Nothobranchius furzeri: one gene and its partners. The protein of the gene in region 3 purifies or fractionates together with the protein of the main gene of each other region. This does not show direct contact. Links are inferred from orthologs where the notes say so. Each region holds a gene or a part of one and is shown on either strand. Other genes may lie near its edges.

Region 1 (4,997 bases), on a different chromosome or scaffold from region 3:
AAACCACAATTTTGTCTGTAAATCTGCTACAGCAATTTGGATAAAAAGTGCTATTTTTTTGCTAAATTAATACTTTGTCTGAAGTAAGTCAGTGACAGTGACGCGAGGGTTAGAAGTTGGCTTTGTAAGTGTGTGTAAAGCAAAGCCCTTGACTTAGAACGGCACTATAAAAATGTAATCATGTTTAGGCCTTTATAGAATTATATCATTATTGTTTACAGGTGTTCAAAATGAAAGCGTCCTTATTATGGACTTTTGCACATAAAGAACAAACAAAATGTCTTTACAAAAACCAGTCAGACACTTATGCCATGGGGCAGCAGTAGCTCAGGTGGTAGAGCGGGCTGCCTCATGATCGGAGGGTCATGGGTTCGATTCCAGCTCCCGCCAGGGGTATCCTGCTGTTGTGTCCTTGGGCAAGACACTTCACCCAACTTGCCTGTGTTAGTGGTGGTCAGAGGGGCCGACGGCGCCAAATGGCAGCCTCGCCTCTGTCAGACCTCCCCAGGGCGGCTGTGGCTACAAGTAGCTTACCATCACTAGCAGTGTGTGAATGTGAGAGTGTGTGAAAGCGCCTTTGGGTGTCTAGAAAAGCGCTATATAAGTTCAATGAATTATTATTATTATTATGCACTAGAATTAAAGAGGAAACAGGATTAATATTGTCAGCCAGTCGAGGAGGCTCGGGGATCTGGTTAGGACACCTCCTGGTGAGGTTTTTCTGGACACCGGGAGGAGACCCAAAGCCAGAGGGACTATGTCTCTCGGCTGGCCAGCGAACACCTAAGGATTCTCCCGGAGGAGCTGGCCCAAGTGGCTGGGGAGAGGGAAGTCTGGGCCTCTCTGCTTAGGCTGCTGCCCCATGAAGTACTAAGTGAATAGTTATTTAGTTATGTTATAATTTAGAGACTGCACTTTTAAAGATTGTATTATAGAGAATGAGATGCCTTATTTAGTCATTTATTAGATTTTACCTAATTTTTTGAATAGTATATTTGCTTTTTAACAGTGTCTTTCACTGTTTCTAGTGGGAACAGCATCATGAATTTAGGGTATTGTTGCTCAATGTTATCATTGTATCTTAATGCCTTCAACCTGAAAGGAGATCCAGTTGTGTATGACCGTCAAATGAAAATAACTGTTACTGTTCACAGTTGTACCAACCTGAAACTTCGCTTTCTTTCTTGGAACGTTATCATACGTACTGACTTGTCTAAGCACATCTTTCAGCTTGGCACTGATACCCGGTTTGCTCATGGCTTCATGTACTCTCTGAAAAAAAAGATACATAAAGTCTGAATTTTAACAAAATATTTCAGTCAACAACAAACCACCGTATGGTTTCAAGGAGATTCTGGTCCACCATCCGGCATCTCAGGAGGGGCAAGCAGCTCGGGACGTTGTGAATCGATGGGTGGAACACTTCCTCAATCCTACTGGCACGTCTTCCAGGGAGGAAGCAGAGTCTGTGGACTTTGGAATGGACTCTCCAATCTCTGGGACTGAGGTCACCAAAAAAAAAACTCCACGGTGGCATGGCTCTGGAGGTGGATGAGCCCAGAGTTCCCTAAGACTCTGGATGTTGTGGGGCTGTGTTGGTTGATGCGGCTCTGCAGTATCGCGTGGACATCAGGGGTAGTTCCACTGGATTGGCAGACTGAAGTGGTGGTCCCCCTAATTACAAAGGGGGACTGCAATGTGTGTTTCAACTACAGGGAGATCACACTCCTTAGAAAGGTCTATTCAGGGGTTCTGTAAAGGTGGGTCTGTTGGACTGTCGAAGGCCAGATTCAGGATGAACAATGTAGTTTTCGCCCTGGCTGTCCTTTGTCACAGATTCTGTTCACAACTTTTATGGACAGGATTTCTAGGCACAGCCAAGTTGTTGAGGAGATCTGTTTTGGTGGCCTGAGGATCAGGTCTCTGCTTTTTGCAGATGATGTGGTCCTGTTGGCTTCATCAAAATGTAATCTCCAACTTCTTCTGGAGCGTTTCACGGCAGAGTGCAAAGCAGCTTCTCTAAACCCGAGACCATGGTCTTGAATCGGAAAAAGGTAGAATGCCTTCTCTGAGTCAGGGATGAGGTCCTGCCTCCAGTGGAGGAGTTTAAGTATCACAGGGACTTGTTCACGAGTGAGGGAAAGATGGAGCGTGGGATCAATAGGGGAATTGTTGCTGCATCTGCAGTGATGCGGGCGTTGTACTGATCTGTCGTGGTGAAGAGAGAGCTGAGCCTGAAGGCAAAGCTCTCGATTTACCGGTCGATCTACGTTCCTGCCCTCACCTATGGTTACGAGTTTTGGGTAGTGATCGAAAGAACGAGATCGGCGATACAAGCGGCCAAATTAGTTTTCTCTGCAGGATGGCTGGGCTCTCCCTTAGAGATAGGATAAGAAGCCCAGTCATCCGGGAGGGGCTCGGAGTAGACCCGCTACTCCTCCACTTCGAGAAGAGCCAGTTGAGGTGGCTCGGGCATCTGGTCAGGATAGCTCCTGGACGCCTCCTTGATGAGGTTGATGAGGCACGTCCAACTGGGAGGAGACCTAAGGGAAGGCCTTGGGGTTCCCTCAGAGAAGCTGACCCAAGTGGCCAGAGAGGGGGAAATCTGGGCCTTTCGGCTTAAGCTGCTGCCCCTGCGACTCAACTCCAGATAAGTGGCTGAAAATGGATGGATGGATGGAGGAACCACCGTTCGGTGAGAGAAGTTTACCTGAATCCACTGCTGTTGTTTCACATCTCCTTTGTTTGCCTTAGCCTCGTAGCCTTTCCCTCCATACTTCTGATTTTCACTTATACATTTGTTGTGATCTTTGTAGTCATCACCCCTGTAGAAAGCATGGAAGAGTTTACACTAAGAAAAGTCTGTGAACAGAAATCTATGGATTGTAAACACTCGGCCAGCCATTACCAGAAGTCTTTTCCACAGTCGATACAGGACAGCACTTGGCAACCACGACACATATTCACGTGTTTCTCAACCTGAGCTTTTTTTAACGATTCACCACACGCGTTGCAAGTAAAAAACACCATTTTAAAAGCAATTCAGTGACTTCTGTGTCTCGGTGCCTTTAGCTTCTTAAAGCAAGTTAAAACAACGTTTGATGCTCAATGTGGAACAATCCCCCAGTACTAGACTTGGCACGCGCTAACGGTCAAATGTGGACAACAAAAAATAAACCTACTAACAAAAGTAGAAAATAATATTTGCCAATTAATATTTTCAAGCGGATGAACAACATACGTTGCTTTTATAAAAGTTATCGGATTCAAAAAAAACACCTAGAAGCACATTTACTGATTCCCTACGTGTATACTTCACGCAATTCAATCCTACATTATTAGCCTTCCGTGAGGAAAATGCTCCCAAAGAAACGTTCCTACAATTATTAAAATAACGTTAAAAGATTGGGAGAGGAAACATTATGCCAAAAATGTTTGATTACCTTAACCAATAAAATTACAAGCATGTAATTCCTTTTATTAAAACAGAATATATATTTATTTATCTGTGTTCATGTTTCGAAATAGGCGCTGTACCAGGAAGTGACGTAAGTCACCACAGTCTAGTGACCCATCATCCCAATGAAAGGTAGGAATGTATTAAGGGAGTTGTTGGCTTTGTTTATTTCTAAAGTTGATTGTTGGCAGTTAATCTAATTTATTTACTTTTCAAAACATTATTTTTTAAAGAAATTTCGCGTTCAGCCAATTTTCCTACGCACTGCTGCGATCGCTTGGTGCAGACATTTTGTTATTTTTGCATGGCTGGTCTCGTAACTCGGCCCAGCGGAAATCTGCTGTTTACAGAACAAAATAGATGAAAATATGAAGTTCAAAAGTTTATCCAGAATCAGCTGAAGAATGCATTTGTAACCCAGTTTAGCTGTTTGTTACCCATTAGCTACAGATAAGCTGTTTTCTTCTTCTTTTTCCCCTGATGTAAGGTTGAAGTTGAGAGAGGTCCAATAGCTGAGTGACCATGGACTCCCTGTCCAGCCACAGCTCATACCTTCTCCAGCAGCTCCAGGAACAAAGAATTCAGGGACTTCTTTGTGACTGCATGTTGGTGGTTAAAGGTGTTTGCTTCAAAGCCCACAAAAATGTCCTGGCTGCTTTCAGTTCCTATTTCAGGTGCCCTAAAGTCAATTTAATGAATAAAAATCCACATGTTTTTGTATTTTTTAGCTTTCTCTATTAATCATGTTGCGATTCTATAGATGATTGAGTTGTTTTATAATTGGATTTCTCCAGGTCTTTGTTCCAAAACTCTCCAAGTCAGAAGAGCGACGTTTTCAACCTGGTTATCCAGGATGTCAGTGGCATTGGTCAAATATTGGATTACATGTATACCTCCCATCTCGACGTTAACCAAGAAAACGTACAAGCGCTTCTGGACATTGCCCAGAGCTTGCAGGTTCCAAATGTGCAGACCATGTGTAACGCCTTCCTCAAGCCTTGCCCCCCACCCGCAGAGTTGTCTTCCTTTTCCCTCCCAGGCATGCTGAGCTCAGAGCATGACTGTCTTCTGGGCAGTGGTCTTCCACATGATGTTGACCTTCACTGTACCTCTGAATCCCAGAGGCCAAATTTTTACAGTGACCTGGACCACACAAGAAGGATACCAGTTTCTCTGCCTAGCAACAGCACAAATGGTGACATACCTAGCAGCTCTCATGCACCTGTAGAAAAACAGCTGGTTCATGGATATAAGCTCCGTAATTTTTACAGTAAGCAGTACTTCAAACAAAGTGCTCTGCAAACCAGTAGTGCAGCTTCAAACCAGGGCCCAGGTCCTTTAGTGTTATCAGAAGAGCAGCTTGGAATGAGCCAGAGTCGAAACAACACTCCTGTAACCTCTGGAAACGTGCCTCAACCTAACCTTTCTTGTACATCTGTGCCAGCTGAAAAGAGCACAGTCTCGTCTTTGACTCCATCAGATAATCTCAACACCTCCAACTCTGATCCAACTGACTCCATGATCAACAAGACCGTTCGTC
Region 2 (5,067 bases), on a different chromosome or scaffold from region 3:
GGAGTTCGTGCCGGAGCGGAGCGGAGGTAGTGGAATTTGGGGGTTAGAGTCTAAATCTGCCCTCTTCCGCTCCAGCCAACTTCTTCTTCCTGAAACAGGAGCGCCACAGAATCCATTCACATGGCTTTCCTTTATCCTAGAGCCCACTGCAGATGTATTGGGTAAAACAACCTTAAATGTGTTTTAAAGTCAGACATGAGGTTTCTGCTGAACTGAATGTGCTCAGATTGAATCGGCTAACAGGATTATAACCATAACAGCAGTAAATCCTGAGTGAGCATGAATTAAACCAAAGTTTTATCTAAACCTGAATGATTTTCTGTGGTGGGACTTTCAGAGTCATGCATAAAGTAGCGCCTGCAAACCTCAATGAAGCCCAGCAGTGCTAGTAATGGTGCTGAGGCTGGTTAGTGTTTTGGTTATTTTATCTCCTCCATTTAAGACATCTTCAGTGGAGAAGATGGAATTATTTATGCCCACACTCGTGCATGTTAGGGGGTAAACTGATGTATGTTCCTCATGTTTGTGTGTTTTGTGCACATTTTAGAAAGAACATGCAGGTTTCCCCAGAAGAACGGGTTTTCTGTCAGCAGCAACACAAAAATCACTGGAGAGGAAGAGAGAAACCATGTGAGTGTGTAGCTGGTAAAAGTTCACGTCTGTCTCCATCACATCTGCAGAAGATCTGTTGAAGTCTTAACACATTTTAATGCTGTTCATGGAAAACTTCTTAATACTCCACAGGTTAGCAGAAGCTACAGAAAATGTCTCCGTCAGCTACTAAAAACGTCTTCTCTTCCCTCCAGGATACAGAAAAGGGCTTTGGAACGGCACAGGGGAGACACGACAAAGACTGGACAGAAGTCTACATTCACAGTCGAGAGACCTCAGGAGACGAAACGAGGACAGTTCAAAGCAAATCCTCAGAGACTCCCCACGAGCGCCTACTCCTCGAGACCTCGATGACACTTCCCTAATTGGCCCCAGTGAGAACTCTAACAAGGCCTCCAGTGAACTACATGAAGAGTGTGTAACAGATGTTTAAAATCTTACATTCAAATGGATTCTGCGTTTTCAGGAGCTAGTCTTAGTCTTTTTTTATAATAAAAAATGCTTCAAGTTCCTTTTATTCATCTTGTTCGTGTTTAGAAGATGCTGAGAAAACAGAAGCGGATCTGACGTGGTGACGACATCAATAGAGACAGTTTAGCCACGGCAGAATGAAAACTAATGTAGGAGAGCAAATTAGACCCATTTCAGAGAACCACTTCCTGTGCAGTCTGGCTCACCTTTGTAGCTCATTGGGATGCCTGATCCTAAATTAGCTTCAGCTGAATCCACATATTTGTAAGGGGACCCTGGACTCACTTGGACCTGTGAGAAGAGATAGTTGAGCGTTTTTGTCCCCTTTTATGTGCCTTCAGCCAAAATTAGACAATCTTTTAAACATATTAGCACATTTTGACCCTTAATTTTGATAATGATGTGCTTTTGTAACACATCAGCATGTTACTGCAGTGGTCTGCCCGGTGCATCCTTAAAAGATTTGTACTGGTTTGGAATATTAGCCTAATTGTGTTTACACCTTTATACTTAGTTCTTGCTTTTGGATATTTGATAATGTTGGTATATTATGTTTTTGTTTGTTTTTCACAATAAAAGTTTCTCCGGGTTGATTTTGTGGAGAAAGACGCGCATGCGCCCTCCGGGCGGCAGGGGGCGCTGCTCGCTGCCTCATCATCGCTCGGCTAATATCCGCTCAGCTCGCGCTGAGGAGATGAGATGAGCTTTGTTTGTTGTTGTAGCTCTTCGGGTGTCAGAGCAGAATGGAAGGAAATGCAGAAACTGGTAATTCTTCTCGAGCCAGAAGGAAAGCTTTGGACAAGGCTAAAATACTTCAAAGAGAACGGGAGAGGAAGATTTTCAGACTGGTGAGATGAGAGAAGGGTAACAATAAAAGATGGCAGCGCTAGCAAGCTACATTAGCAGTAAACCAGCGGTTTCCCGAAGTTCTGCAGACATGCTGATGCATCCCACCCACTAAACTACAAATGTTCACGTGTCAGAATCCAACAGTTAGGCTGTAAACGTCATTAACATCTGACCAGTGTCACAACGTGTGGTATTTCCCATGTTTCTGCTGCTATAATGGAAAACAAGTCGTTATTTTATCTTAATGCTTGGACCCAAAACTCCTCCACAGTCTGGGGAAGGAAAAAGTGGTAGTGAGCACATCTCTACGTAGCACCGGTAAACCTGCCCGGTTCTCGCTGCAGGTCGGACAGGTGCTGAAGAAGCCGGAAACGGAACGGTCTAAGGAAGAAGTCGCTGCGCTTGTCCTGCACAGAGAAACCGTGGATGAGGTGTGCAAGAGACAAATCCGCAGGAGTGTCCTCAAGAGGAAGCAGGAGGAGGTGAGACTCAAGGTTAACGTCGTTAGGGACAGGTGAGCCCACACCTGTAGCAAATCATTCAAGTGCAACAAATGATCCTAAAGTTCAAAAACTGCTATTTTTATGAGTTTATTTTAACTATAGTTATATTTTAATTATCATACCACACAATGTGTCTGGTTTAGTGAAAAAGTTTGATCAAATGTGTTTTTAGTTGCTGCTCAGTGTCGCAGTGGTTAGCGCTGTTGCCTTGCAGCTAGAAGGTCTTGGGTTAAAATCCCAGCCTGGGGTTTGCATGTTCTCCCCAGGTACTCCGGCTTCCTCCCACAGTCCAAAGCATGGCTGTCAGGTTGACTGGTCTGTCTAAATGGTCCTTAGGTGTGTGTGTGTGCTCGGTTGTTTGTCCAAAGGGTTCAAATGAAGTCAGCTGGACTTCTTTGGTTTCTTGAAGACGTTTAACTTGTCATCCGAGGAGCTCTGTCAATTCTGACTGGAACGTGGGAGAGTCAAGCTCATAAGCTGTAGCCGTCTGTTGTTATTTAATGAGCAGAAACTACTCTGAATATCCCGCGTCTCCATCCCCTGATGAGTCGTTGGCCTCTATTGAGAGGGAGTGGTTGTAGTAGAGGCTAACGACTCATCAGGGGATGGAGAGGGAAGTCTGGGCGTCTCTGCTTAGGCTGCTGCCCCCGGGGACCCTGGATAAGCGGCTGAAGATGGACGGACAAAAGAAAAAATCAGGATTTATTTTCACAATAAATTCAAGATATCATGTTTAACCAGAATTACACATTTATCATTAAACGCGCGATGTTTGACTCTGATTACCTGCTTGTTTATTCTCAGGCTCTGTTCTTGTGCTGTTTTCAGGTGTTTGATGATGCTGATGAGTTGAAACTCAAAGTCAAACAACTGGCTGAGGCGGTCAGGGAAGCTCATCACCTGGTGGTTTACACTGGAGCTGGTATCAGCACGGTATTCCAAACCTCCCCTATTTGTTGCTCTTGTGATTTAGAAACCTTCAATGTACCAGTAGTTTCTCGTTTTAGGCTGCTTCTATCCCAGACTACAGGGGCCCTAACGGGGTGTGGACGCAGCTGCAGAAGGGAAAGGCAATAAGGTGAGAGGCACATCTTTATCAAAAAGCTGGTCATAGTCTGGGTTTCAAATTTCTGTCGTTTCTTCTGTCCCAGTTCGTCAGACTTGAGTAAAGCTGCACCGACGCTCACTCACATGTGCATTAGGATGCTCCACAAGGAGAAGCTGGTATGTGAGACAAGTTTGGATGGTTTAGAAAGGTTGGACCTCATTTCTAAAGCTACATTTAATTCTGTCTGTTTTTCAATCAAGGTGAAGCATGTTGTGTCACAGAACTGTGATGGACTTCACCTGCGAAGCGGTCTTCCCCGACACGCCCTCTCTGAGCTTCATGGGAACATGTACATTGAAGTAAAGCCTGATTTTTTACTTCTCCGTCTGCGTCGGCACAAGGGCTCTGACAGGGTTCACAGGGGGTGATGGTGACATGCCCAAAATTTTAAACATCCGTAGAAAGTGATGGAGAACGCAAGCTTGTGATTGGTCAGGACGCCGCTTTCTGTAGATTCGTCACCAGCTCCGCCGTTGCCCTGTTAAAGAGTAAAGCGATATTTAGCTGCAGACCCAGAACAGATTGAAGATTGCATCGTGGAAAAAGTCAGAAAATATCAACGTTTATTCACCCGTGACTGAAGGAGTACAAAATACGGAACAAACGTGGACGAGAGCGACAGGAAGCGTGGGTTTAGAGGTGGCGAGGGCATGAAGAGCTGGAGGAGAATGGACAAAATTGTCCGTGTTATAAAGTCTCTGAAACACATGAAGACGTTAGTAAACACGTGTACCGGATACAGGAGTTTTATGGTGGCAGGGTACCGCAGAAAAGAGCTACGCCCTCTGCTGTGCTGGCGGGGAATTGCTTATCGATGCTCCGCTGCCTGAACAGAGGGTCGCATATGAAAACCTTTCAAACTTCATGTCAGGAATCTTGGCGTGACCTTTGACCCAGCTCTCACCCTGGATTCTCATGTCAGTTCTCTTGTTCGCTCTTCCTTCTTCCATCTCAGGAACGTTGCTAAGCTGAGTCCCATTCTGTCTCGCTCTGAACTTGAGACAGTTCTCCACACCTTCATCTCCTCACGCTTAGACTACTGTAACTTTCTTTTCACGTGTCTGAGCAGAACCTCCCTGAACCGTCTACAGGTGGTTCAGAACGCCTGTGCTCGGCTTCTGACCAAGTCCTCCAAACACACCCACATCACCCCGCTTCTCCTCCAGCTTCACTGGCTGCCAGTCAACTTCAGGGTTCATTTCAAGATCCTGGTTCTGGTCTATAGGGCCTTACATGGACAAGCACCATCTTACATTGGTGATCTTCTTAGTCCCTACACCCCCAGCAGGTCCCTGAGGTCCAGTGACCAAAGCCTAATGGTTGTGCAGCACCAGGCTAAAGGTCAAAGGTGACAGATCATCTGTTGCTGTTGCCCCCAGACTCTGGACCTCTCTCCCCCTGAGCCTGAGATCAGTGGACTCAGTGGTCTCCTTCAAACTCACCTGTTCAGGTTTGGTGGGATCTTCATCACCCTCTCCTTGTTCTGCCTTTCCTGGGATCCACTGGTTTCCCTCTTTCTTTTTC
Region 3 (4,943 bases):
CAACACCAAGGGTGTCATCTGATGAGGACACAGTGGGTGTTAAATCGTTAGTTCTGTTTGCACAATGAAGCTTGAAATTCATCAGTGAGATCCAGTTCCTATGTTTGATATCTGAAGCAATCACTCTGCTAAATGGAAAAAACACACAGATTATCTACGACACTTTAATATAACTGATTTGTTTTTCTTTCTTTTATCGATCAGGATGGTCACCGTCTCTAAAGATGGAACGTGGAAGCTGTGGAACACAGATGTAGAGTACAAAAAGCAGCAGGATCCTTACCTCCTGAAGACGGTCCCTTGCTCCTCCTCCGAAGGCAGCAGAGTGGCTTTGTCCCCTGATGGCCGTGTTGTGGCCATCAGCAATGGTTGTAACATAGCGATGTACGATGCTGCCACTGGGAATCTGGAGAAGGAACTGCACGGTGTCCACAGTGAAAACATCTCCGACCTCAGGTTTGACATTAACAGCCGCTTCTTGGTGTGCAGCGGCGACAAGGCTATCAGAGTGTTTCATAATGCGCCAGGCTACCAGGCTGCTATCAAAGACATGCAGGACATGCTGAAAAAAGCCCAGAACGAGGCTATGAAGCAGAGACTGCAGCAGCAGATAAAAGATGCTCAGAGCGCTCTGGACACTGTGCTCACTGCTCGGATCGAGTGAAAGAATGCACAAAGAGCCACCATGTGATTGTGATGTGTCATGTTTTTGTCAACATCCAGTTTCCCTTTTCTGCTCATTAATTTGTGCAGGAAGCAACGGGTTATGCATGCAGTTTTAATAAAGAATACATTTTTATGCAAAGATGAAATGTGTTGTGGATGTGTGTGGTTTGATTTAAAGTTAGGAAACCAAAAACACGGTAATGAAGATGGTCTACAATACCAAAGTGAACGCTCTTGTCACAGCATCATATCACAAAACGAGTAAATGCTTAAAGAGAAAGAATTTACTTACTGAATAATTAAATAAAAAGTGATTTAAAAGTAGCATGGGTTAATTGTCACTAAATTCATATTAAAGTCTGGATTTAGTTTTTGCCAATTGAATAAGAAACATTAGTTATAGTACCTCTCAAGATAAAATTCAGGAGGCGCTTATTGAGGTCTTTGTTAGAAAAACAAGATTAAACCCTGAGAATGCTCTTTCCTAAATAAGCTTCAGTAGCTTTCACTTAGATTTTAACTGAAAAAAAAAGATACAGTCAGAAAAACCCTCAACATCAAGAAGTTTCCATGGATATGGATCTGGCCCTGGTTTAGACTGTTCCACCTTCCCACAAAAAACGCTGATGATCAAAACAAAGTTTATTGAAAGAACAAAAAAATGGGGGTTTACATCATGTTGTCACCGGCGCACGTGGAGGTGCAACTACTGGGCAGCATTCTTTAACGATGAAATCCGAGTCTTGCGCCGGCCTATCGCTAAAGAGCAACCCTCATCTGAATTGACCCGGAAGTGGTTTGTGTCTGTGGAAACACGTTTTCCTCCCGTAGCAGCATGTTGATCAGAGGTGGTTCTGAGAGCAGATGTCTGTAGAGATGGTGGAACTGTTGGTGAAGGCAGCGGAGCCGCTGCGACCGGCCGGGGTTTTACAGCAGAACCGGGTCTTCCTCGACTTCTTCTGGGATTTAGCTAAACCGGATCAGGAGGTCCGACTGAAGGCCGTGGAGAACCTGATCCAGTACCTGAAAACAGAAAACAAGGTGAGAAACTGCCTGGACACGATCCAGACTCAGATGCATTATGTCCTCTGAAGTTAAAGTTTTAGTAAATCAGAATAAAAGTTTTTAGATTCAAATGATTATATCACTGACTAAATTGTCAATTTCTTAATAAAATCGCCTACGTTTTGGTTTAAAAAACTTTTTCTTCATAATTGGACAATAACTCAAAGAAAATCAAGTTTTAACGGACTAAATTAGTTTCTGTTAAAAACAATTTCACTAGTGTTTAACAATCAGCTAAAAGTTCACAACAAAGTAGAAGGCGTTAATTAAATATAAAAATAAAGTATAAAGCAAAGTGCAAGTTTAATACCGGTATATCAAAACAAAAATAAAATGTTCATCAAGTCATTTATACTCAAAGATAAAGACATGAGTTTTAAATGGCCTGTATTTGTATAGCGCCCCCAAGACGCTTCACAGCACAATCACACATTTACACACTGGTAGGGATGAGCTACCATGTAGCCACAGCTGGCCTGGGGCTCTTCTGAGAGTAGTGATGTCTAAATGTTCCCAGTCTCAGTGGTGTGTAGAAAGTTTTACGGATGTTGTTTCTGTCCTGCAGGCCGATGAACTGGATTACACGTTTAAACGTCTGGTGGACGGACTGTCCCACACCCGGGAGACAGCCAGGCCTGGGTTCAGCCTGGCTCTGGGACAGGTGAGGGCACCGCCAGCCCGCTTGATTGGTCGATTCAACTTTAAAGTTCACCAGTTTGTAGAAATCAAAAAACTTCAATGTTTCAAATTAAGCGATAAGTTTCCTCTTTCAGGTCTTGAGTGCCTTTAAGGACGTCTCCCTGCAGAGTATACTGAACAGAATCAAAGAGAAACACAACATACAGGCTGTGAAGAAGGTGAGTTTAGATGCTCAGGACTCCTTTGGCATCAGGAACTTCACTAACGGGCGTTTCCACTCACCAAAATCACGTTGTTTCATAGAAACTTGCCAGAAATGCGATGTTCGGAAACTTGTTTGGCGTCCTCGCTCTTCATCAGTCTGGACGTCTCGCTGAAGTGAGTTGGGAGTTTTTTTTTTTTTTGTTTTTTAAGGTTAACATTCTAAAGAGTCAAAAACACTTATAGCAGCTCTGATCTCTGCAGGAGCCACAGGTGGTGTTGGGATGTGTGACGCTCCTCCAGAGTCTGACTCAGCACAAGCAGCACCTGAAGGACCTGCCCAGTAAAACCATGGTGGACATCCTCACTGAGGTGACCGCTGCGTCCTGGTTGCAGCTTTCCACTTTGTATCAGTTTAACCTCAAAACGCACTCACATGCTGCCCTCTTGGCCTTCAGATCCCAGAGGAGGTGTTCGAGGAGGTCCTGCTGGGCGCCCTGCAGACTGACCTGGCGTCAGCCTTCAACACTCCCGAGCAGCTGCAGCTGCTGTTGGTGGCGCTGCAGCGCTTCCCTCAAACTCTCAAGCCGAAGAAACTCAAGAAGCTGCTGGGCTCCTCCACCATCATTAACGCTGACAACATTCCAAAGTGAGAATTCGGGAATCAGGTCTCAAAATACGCATTCAACCGTCTCCTCCTGCTTATTATCATTAAAAACCTTATCTGTCAGATTGATAGAGGTGTTAAAGATGGCAGCTCACTCTGTGAAGAAGGAGTTAACTCTACCAGCCGTTGCTCTGGACCTCCTGAAGCTCTCTCTGAAGGAGGACAGCTTCCAGCTCTTCTGGAACAAAGCCATCACAGAGGGAATGTTCAGGGAGCCGTTCGGAGTGACTCAGTGAGTTTATTACGAGGATGTGAATGAATCGGACCCAAAACGTGGAAACAAAGCTCTAAAATGTGAAAAGTGTAGTTTTTATTTTCTTGTATGACTTTGTTCTTCCCTGCAAGTGAATTTTTATTCTAACATCCAGCCTTCCCATTGTTGATTCTGTTCAGTTATCTGAGCTTCCGCCTGCTGGGAAGCGCCCTCCCTCTGCTGTCGTTGTCCCAGCTGAAGACGGTCTTATCTGGAGAAGTGATGATGCACTACGGAGAACACGTTCTTGCATCTCAGGTTAGTTCCAGGGTGAATTTTAGATTTCACTCGAATCAGAGGAATAACAAGTGAGGTCTTGGTGAGCTGTAGATCTGGATGGCTGTTTTTCTTTTCCAGAAACCGGGCCGCTTCAAGCTGGCCCCGGAGATGGACACCTACGTGTTGGACTTCCTGCAGGCCTGTCAGGACTCAGACAAGCAGCTGGCGGTCATGGTGGGCTTCTCCTCGCTGACCCACTTGGGTTTGCCTGTGGTGTTGCCAGTGTGGAAGGTGGTGCAGCATCTTCAGCCTGCAGCCTTGCAGAGCTACGTGGAGTGGCTTAAAGGAATGTTTCTTCAGCCTCGGATGGAAGAGCTGCTGGACTTCAGCACCCGCAAGCAGAAGGGCAAGCAGGAGGGTGGAGAGCAGTGAGTTTATACGCCCGCTTCTTTAGCTGACTGAAAAAACACCTTTTAACTCTAATGCTCCTTCAGGAAGGACAGCGCCGTTTTCCACCTGAGGAGGTGGATTGTTTCTCGACTTGCCTCCATCATCGACAACAGTCAGGTGAAGAAGCAGGAGGATCTCATCATGGACGTGGCCAGGTGAGCTTCCTGGTGAGCAGCTTCAGGGTTTCTGTGGGAGTCGAGGAGAAAACCATGATTCTGACTTGCTCCTTTTCCAGGTTTGTCTTTTTCCACGCCTTCTTCGGCACCCAGAAGGCCTCCTCTGACATCGCAGAGACTAGTTCAAAGCCTTCCATCCCGCTTGACGAGAAAACCAGAGGAGTGCTCGTCAGTTCTTTTTTTGGGTGAGAAGAAGTCTAATTTCCTTAAGTATTACCAACTTTATTAAAGAAGTCAGACTTTGCCTCTGCAGCTTCAGTTAAGTCCCGTCCCATCTGTCTTCCATCCAGACTCCTCATGTCGCTGCACCACATGCCACCTAGCGACGACGGCACGGCCGTCAATCAGAGACGGGTGCTCGGCGTAACAGCTGATGGCACCATGTGGATTTACCGCTTGGTTCAGTATGCCCAGCTCCTTCTAAACCATCCAAAACACGTTCACAGAGTCCATCCGTTCAGTCCTGAGCAGAGACAGGCCTGGGACAGGTGAGGGGACACTCAGGCTTCACATTTCTGATTACTTATCGGTTAAATGTGATGATATAGTTGAGATTTTATGTTGATGTGAAGGCAGGAAATTGTTATTGCTGTTTTTCAGCATGCTG

The links.
Region 1: the proteins of mybbp1a (region 3) and lyar purify together in Homo sapiens (affinity purification with mass spectrometry; 3 studies listed by BioGRID and IntAct, with this or other methods). This does not show direct contact. The link is inferred for Nothobranchius furzeri from reciprocal best matches to the Homo sapiens genes MYBBP1A and LYAR.
Region 2: the proteins of mybbp1a (region 3) and sirt7 purify together in Homo sapiens (affinity purification with western blotting; 3 studies listed by BioGRID, with this or other methods). This does not show direct contact. The link is inferred for Nothobranchius furzeri from reciprocal best matches to the Homo sapiens genes MYBBP1A and SIRT7.

The regions. Positions count from the first base shown.
Region 1 is NC_091743.1:56,228,854-56,233,850, forward strand, and holds the start of lyar (cell growth-regulating nucleolar protein), read right to left. Parts: upstream 3,346-4,997; 5' UTR 3,031-3,345; coding exon 2,909-3,030; intron 2,826-2,908; coding exon 2,711-2,825; intron 1,273-2,710; coding exon 1,165-1,272; intron 1-1,164. Other genes in the region: zbtb49 (zinc finger and BTB domain-containing protein 49), read left to right, coding at 3,980-4,131, 4,252-4,997. UniProt on the Homo sapiens protein: Plays a role in the maintenance of the appropriate processing of 47S/45S pre-rRNA to 32S/30S pre-rRNAs and their subsequent processing to produce 18S and 28S rRNAs. Also acts at the level of transcription regulation.
Region 2 is NC_091746.1:22,678,572-22,683,638, reverse strand, and holds the start of sirt7 (NAD-dependent protein deacetylase sirtuin-7), read left to right. Parts: upstream 1-1,713; 5' UTR 1,714-1,826; coding exon 1,827-1,931; intron 1,932-2,276; coding exon 2,277-2,414; intron 2,415-3,263; coding exon 3,264-3,368; intron 3,369-3,442; coding exon 3,443-3,513; intron 3,514-3,586; coding exon 3,587-3,659; intron 3,660-3,743; coding exon 3,744-3,842; intron 3,843-5,067. Other genes in the region: uncharacterized protein cp110, read left to right, coding at 548-630, 807-966. UniProt on the Homo sapiens protein: NAD-dependent protein-lysine deacylase that can act both as a deacetylase or deacylase (desuccinylase, depropionylase, deglutarylase and dedecanoylase), depending on the context. Specifically mediates deacetylation of histone H3 at 'Lys-18' (H3K18Ac).
Region 3 is NC_091750.1:52,602,644-52,607,586, reverse strand, and holds the start of mybbp1a (myb-binding protein 1A-like protein), read left to right. Parts: upstream 1-1,454; 5' UTR 1,455-1,530; coding exon 1,531-1,707; intron 1,708-2,296; coding exon 2,297-2,392; intron 2,393-2,504; coding exon 2,505-2,588; intron 2,589-2,673; coding exon 2,674-2,748; intron 2,749-2,835; coding exon 2,836-2,943; intron 2,944-3,029; coding exon 3,030-3,220; intron 3,221-3,302; coding exon 3,303-3,470; intron 3,471-3,631; coding exon 3,632-3,749; intron 3,750-3,848; coding exon 3,849-4,138; intron 4,139-4,204; coding exon 4,205-4,315; intron 4,316-4,395; coding exon 4,396-4,521; intron 4,522-4,626; coding exon 4,627-4,824; intron 4,825-4,936; coding exon 4,937-4,943. Other genes in the region: tbl2 (transducin beta-like protein 2), read left to right, coding at 205-664. UniProt on the Homo sapiens protein: May activate or repress transcription via interactions with sequence specific DNA-binding proteins. Repression may be mediated at least in part by histone deacetylase activity (HDAC activity).